Oryzias latipes: one gene and its partner. The protein of the gene in region 1 purifies or fractionates together with the protein of each later gene. This does not show direct contact. Links are inferred from orthologs where the notes say so. Each region holds a gene or a part of one and is shown in the gene's direction. Other genes may lie near its edges.

Region 1 (4,097 bases):
AAAGAAGTCATAATCTTTGGCCTGTCAATACACAACAATGTAAATAATGTATGTATCAATACTGTGTTATGTTTAGACAAGTTTTTTATACACAAAAATAGGTTACAGAAATGCCACCCCAGCTTTAGCTTCTTTAATAATGAGGTCAATTTATACTTAAAATCCATAAAGTTAATCGACTCACCTAAAGCCATAACAATTTATGACACCCTGAGTGATATTCCTGATGTCTAAGACAGTTTATTTATATTTTGTATCCCCCTGCTTTTTGCAACACTATCCAACTCTGAAATTGTTGTTCTCTTATGTTATACTTTTCCCTGATTTCTCTATGATTATGAATATACATAGGTTTATGTTTGCATACTGATAAGAATTTTTCTTCTTTTTGCTTCCTTTCCAATTATAGTATTCTCTTTTGTATTCGCCATATTTTGTAATTTTTATGTAAATGTTCTGGTATTGTTTTGTATTGTTCTATAAAAAAAAAAAAAAAAAAAAAAAAGGGGAAGAAAGACTCACAAAAACGCATGCAGGAATGGTCCCATCTCCAATAGTGTGCTCGGCATACTCCTTCAGGTTTGGGCTCTCGTGAATAAAAGCTCTGCTGGTGGCTGGCAGTCCCTCTTCCTGCAGGTATCCTGAAGAAAGATGGAAATCAAACTGCTCACCCCCAAAAAGAAACTGCACGAACACAAACGGAAAACCCAACTGCTATCCCAAGCCGGTGAGCCCTGTCAGCTTTAATCCGCCCATCTTACCCTTCGTTTTCGAGACAGGCTAAAAGCTACAGCTACAATCCCCTCTTCCTTCCTCTGGCTTTGACTTACCCAAAACAAGCCGGGCCACATCAGAAGGGAGCAACATGGCAGCCTAACAGCTAATACGATATATTCGGGGTTTAAAAGATACACAAAAACGTCAAGTAAAAGAATTAGCGACTATAAATAGACAACATAAAACTAGTCGATTTCGGTGATGTTGTTGTCCTGAGGCTGAGTGTACTCCAGCTATTTCAAAAGGCGGGGAACTCAATCATGTATAACCCGGAAGACTTAAAGTGACACACCGATTAGATCTCTGGTAATTGTAGTTAACAACACAGAAAATCTTAGCTAGGTGTTTTAAAACGCCACAAATAACGGCACATTTTCTAATTTTAAAATTTTAGACAGTCTCAACTTCTAATTACATTAAATATTATGTAAAAGTGCAACGAAATCATGCGTTTCTTAAATAATAAATAAATAAATAAAGTCGTTCAAGACGTATACGACCAGGAAGTAGACGTCACTGGTACTGGGGCGGGAATCTGCGTGTGCGTGTAGCTGCTAACGCACGTCGAGGGGAATGGAAAAGTTGCTGTAGGGACAGTAGCACCTTGGCTAACACCTGTCTGTGCACGAGCGCTGGGCAGCTTGGAAATAACAGTCACCTGAGGTCCGTAAAGAAGCCGAGAGCAACCGGTCCCATATGTGTGTCAGTCCATTTCCCTCCAACCTTTTTTACCTTTTTTTTTTTGAAAGGAAGAGGACAGAAACTTTCGCTTTCTCATCCGCCCTGCAAGATAATTATATGAGCTTTTCTCCCCCTCTGCCAGCAAAGTTTACTCAGGTAACAAAAGACAAAACCCCGAAATTTGCACAAATTTAAAGCGATTTCTAACAACACAATGACAAGTCTACAACTCCTAACAATTCTCGTTTATTATTGCACGTCTGGCTTCATTTTTTTGCATTTGGCACAGAATTTGAACGAGCCTTTGCCTGGGCGACCTTCTGTGGTACTTTGAAGGCATTAAGGTGCTTTAAAAAGACATCCATCCACCACGTGACAGCTGTCTGTACACACCCACACTATGCTGACAATCCTCATGTTTGCAGAGCATAAACCATTCTGCATTTTGCCTTGAATGGAAGCAGTCAGAGACCTTACAGAGCCTTTGTGTATGTTGATATTTGGAACAGATGTGATGATGCTTTGATGTTGTCCAGACAGGTACAACAATCAGCTGTGAAGCAGGATGAGTCTGGCTCTACATGATTTACTGCTCTGCTGCAGAGGGCTGGAACATGATAAAGCTACTGAGAGAAAGGTAAAAACGCAAACATCCTAACATTTGGGGACTTAGTAGAAAAATTATATCTTTCATTCATTCATCTTTGAATCCCTGGAGCCTATCCCGAACGCAGGGGACATCCTGGACAGGGGCCAGTCTGTTGCAGGGTCACAATCACCCATCCATGCACTCTCACATTCACACCTAGGGACAATTTAGAGCAGGGGTCGGGAACCTATGGCTCGCGAGCCATATATGGCTCTTTTGATGGTCACATGTGGCTCGCAGACACATTTTTAATTTTTTCTTTTTCATTAGACCAGTCCTTCTCGGGCGCGATGGGATGGCAGAGGCGCACAGTAGTAGCGGTGCTTGGAGAGAAGGATCTGCGCCAGCATTATCAGTTTACAATTATCTATTATTTCACAGAGTTTGTACCAGCCGGAAACCTGTGAATTGCCGTGCCTAAAACTGCGCGCCCCCGTCTCTGAGAAAGAGCGCGCAGTAGCGGGGACAGGATGTGACTGAGAGGGAGAAAGCAGAGGGTGAGGGTGGAGTTGTGGGCTCGGTCAGTAAGGTGAACCGCGCAGGGATTGTAAAAACATAAAACCTGCTGCCCGTCACTCACTGCAGCGTGTGAGTGTGTGTGTTTGGCTCCGCGTCTGCATGTGATCAGTCTGTCTCACATTTACAGAACATTCAGACCTATGATCACGTTTAAAGTCTCAACGCCTGAACGAAGCAGAAACTCACCACGTATCAACCAGACTAGACCATCAACAAAACTACCACGAGAAATACTCATCATTTATTAGCAACAGCATAACAATGTTATTAAAAATAATCCACAGACTTATTGTACTTTAAAAGTGTTGAAATTATATCAAATGCACACATTCACTTGAATATTTAGTTTTAAACATATTGTAGCGGACTGAGTTTAACTTGGCTGTTGGGCCGCGTTAAAAGTTCTGGAGTTCCTTGAACGCATCAAGCAGAGATCTGATTGGCTCTTAGTTCTGTCGCTCAGCTTGTTGTTAGTTAATTTGGACCAATGGGGTTCAGCTATGGGCCGAATAAGGGAAATGGGAGGGCTGGAGCGGGAGGGGGGAATATAAAGTTGGGAGAAGCGCTCTCGTCTCGGCGGGAGAGATTCAGGAGCTGCTGAATTAATTTACGGCATTTGTTACAGCCTGCATTAACCAGAATAAAGAACCTTAAAAGAGGTTAAGTCTCCGTGTGGGAAAAGGACACTACATTATTGTATGGCTCTTTCGAAATTACATTTAAAAATATGTGGCGTTTATGGCTCTCTTGGCCAAAAAGGTTCCCGACCCCTGATTTAGAGGATCCAATAACCTATGATGAAGCATGTCTTTGGACTGTGGGAGGAAGCCGGGGTCCCCAAAGAAAACCCACGCATACACGGGGAGAACATGCCAACTCCACACAGAAAGGTCCCCCATCGATGTTCTGCTTCAGGTCCCCCAGCCGGGGACTTGAACCAGGGGCCTTCTTGCTGTGAGGCAAGAGCGCTAACCACTGGTTAAATAATGGATTTGTGTTTTTTGTTCATTTATTTCAGTTAATAAGGTTTTGTTTGGATTTTTAACTCATCAGAAGGGGGTGACGTCATGATAGAAAATGTCAAGCTTTACGTAGCTTTCTTGCAGTTAAATGTGCTTCAGCTGGAGGATCTTATTTGAAACAATCATTTTGGTCTAATTTATTTTTGAAAAGAATTTGTGTGTGCTGCTGTAATAATAAAAGACAGTCAAATCGTTATACAGTACACAGAAAAAAACATTCACTTTATACTTAAATTATTGTAAATATTTTGAAGTGATTTTATAAATGAATAGCTAAATGGCCTGAGAAACATAAATAAAATTTGTTTTTCGAACAGGGAAGTGGGAATTTGTGGCTTTCACTAGGTTTTGTTCATTTAGAAACTAACCCAAATGACTCTTTTAGCGTTAAAGGTTGCAGACCCCTTGTTTGGGTGAATACTCTACTCTGATTGGCTGTACTGGATGTC
Region 2 (2,382 bases), on another chromosome or scaffold:
TTTTTTCTTCTCTTTTGACAGATATATATTCAAAGGTGGAGCTAAGCATCCACAAAACAAATTTACAAGAATGAAACTGCAATATTGAAAGTTTGTGTGACCTATTACTTGTTCAAAAATTGTATTTATTGCAAATAAATTATTTTCTAAACTATTACTTAATATTAGCATCTGTATTCTCTTTTTTGTGCATTATTCAAAGAAGATTCTTACAGCAAAGATACAAAATACATCAGTATACAAACCTCTTTCCTTACACAAAGGTTTCTTGCAGATCCGTATGGTTTCCCTCTCAAACCACTATTTATCCAGGTATACTGGATGGAGAAGATGTCTTTAAAAAGTAAATAGGTATCCCTTGAAAAGGAGATTTGGTCTCAATGGGAATTTTTAATCAACAAAACTCGATCATATAACTCGAACACAGCTTGGTAAATCTAAGCTGGAGTTCCTGAAAAAAATAAGAGGTAAGCGGTTTGTTTAACACAACTGTTTGTAACAGTATGCTAAATACTAAAGTCTTTAATTTAAAGTAACTTTTTAAGTAAATAGTATCCAGTTGTTCCTACATTCTCAAAATGAGTTATTGGAAAAAACACAAACTGCTTAGATAGCTTTTTGCCAAGATATGCAGCTAAAATACAGCGCAACAAACACGTCCCTTTGCTTATTTATTTATGTAAACATCAATAAAGTTCTTAGATTCCATAACACTCACAATCTTTCAAAATTCACACACATATACTGTACATATCAAGGTTATTTCAGTTTATGCCACAAAGTGTATAATCTGGCATGTAGTTGAACACTTAAAAGAAATGATCTTAGGTTTTGGAATTTTCTAGATACCATCAACTCTGCTGCTCAGCTTCAATTATTCACGTGACTTTGGTCAGCGGCTGTGTTAAAACCGCCAAAGGTTTAAACCTGGAGGGAACATTTCCGATTGGTCTGATGTGTCTGCCACATAGCCACTCATAACATGGAGACCAAAGTACTAACCAATCGTTTCCCTTTATCCCACAACCCTTTACGTGATTGGTTCATAGCCTAAACGCTGTAAATCGAAGACGTTGACCAACGTTTCCGGTTTCGTCTCGCTAAACCAATGAAATCGCAGTACTTCCTCTTTGAAAGCCAATCGATGCTTAGGGCGGGACCAAAACGGGGTTTATATCCAGGTCAACGTGGTGCTATTTGGATATCTGTATTGCAGCACTGAAAGACAACGTTTGTGTTTACAAACCGGAGGGAACTTTCTACATCGAATATGTCCGGAAGAGGAAAAACTGGAGCAAAGGCCCGCGCTAAGGCAAAGACCCGCAGCTCACGTGCTGGTCTGCAATTCCCCGTGGGCCGTGTTCACCGTCTACTCCGTAAGGGAAACTACGCCGAGAGAGTAGGTGCCGGAGCCCCGGTTTACCTGGCCGCCGTGCTCGAGTACCTTACCGCTGAGATCCTGGAGTTGGCCGGGAACGCCGCCAGGGACAACAAGAAGACCCGCATCATCCCACGCCATCTTCAGCTGGCCGTTCGCAACGACGAGGAGCTGAACAAGCTGCTTGGCGGCGTGACCATCGCCCAGGGCGGCGTCCTGCCAAACATCCAGGCCGTCCTGCTGCCGAAGAAGACCGGCCAGGCTACACCAAGTTCCGGAAAGGCGGGAAAGAAGTCTTCGCAGTCTCAAGAATATTAGCTTCTAAGCTATCGCCGCTAAAAACCAAAGGCCCTTTTAAGGGCCACTCACTCACTGAAAGAGCACCTTTCCCCTCATGATGTACATATGACCGATGACTGACTTTACTGTATAAACTACCGTAACATGTACTTAGTAAAACGTTACATTCAGGGCTTTTCATTAAACTGAAAATTTGATTGTTCACTCTTGTTTCTTTGTGTTCTTTCCCTACTCAGCAGAAAATTAAACTATATTAAAGGACTTCATAACATTTACATTGCATAAGGTAGTAAACAAACTAAGATGTCGGAACCGGGATAAATTGTGTCCTAAGGTCTGACAAATTCAAATTAACTAAGTTATACTGCAAAATGTAGTTTTGATCTTACAAAACCAGGAGATTTGTCAAAATTGTGATCATAGCATGTCGTAATTAGTAAAACTAAACGAAATGTTCTTCAAAGTCAGGAGGAAACTAATAGATCTGAATCATGATCGACAATTTGTTCCAAACCGGTTTAGTGTTAAAAGTCCAGCAGGAAACTAAACCCTGACTTAGCTTTGGTTGAATTTTAAACTGTTTAAAACCTTATTGAAGATTTCCAATATAGATTTCCATTTAGTTGCATAACAATTGCCAATATCCAGAGTCAGGTATGAAATAATGCATGTAAAAATAACCAAACCATAATGATAAACCAGAA

What was found. The genes of interacting proteins can lie anywhere in the genome.
Region 2: the proteins of atm (region 1) and histone H2AX purify together in Homo sapiens (affinity purification with western blotting; 11 studies listed by BioGRID and IntAct, with this or other methods). This does not show direct contact. The link is inferred for Oryzias latipes from reciprocal best matches to the Homo sapiens genes ATM and H2AX.

The regions. Positions count from the first base shown.
Region 1 is NC_019871.2:24,872,565-24,876,661, forward strand, and holds the start of atm (serine-protein kinase ATM), read left to right. Parts: upstream 1-1,297; 5' UTR 1,298-1,614; intron 1,615-1,994; 5' UTR 1,995-2,023; coding exon 2,024-2,095; intron 2,096-4,097. Other genes in the region: protein NPAT, read right to left, coding at 523-641, 831-867.
Region 2 is NC_019872.2:15,234,268-15,236,649, forward strand, and holds histone H2AX, read left to right. Parts: upstream 1-1,171; 5' UTR 1,172-1,270; coding exon 1,271-1,696; 3' UTR 1,697-1,882; downstream 1,883-2,382. UniProt on the Homo sapiens protein: Variant histone H2A which replaces conventional H2A in a subset of nucleosomes. Nucleosomes wrap and compact DNA into chromatin, limiting DNA accessibility to the cellular machineries which require DNA as a template.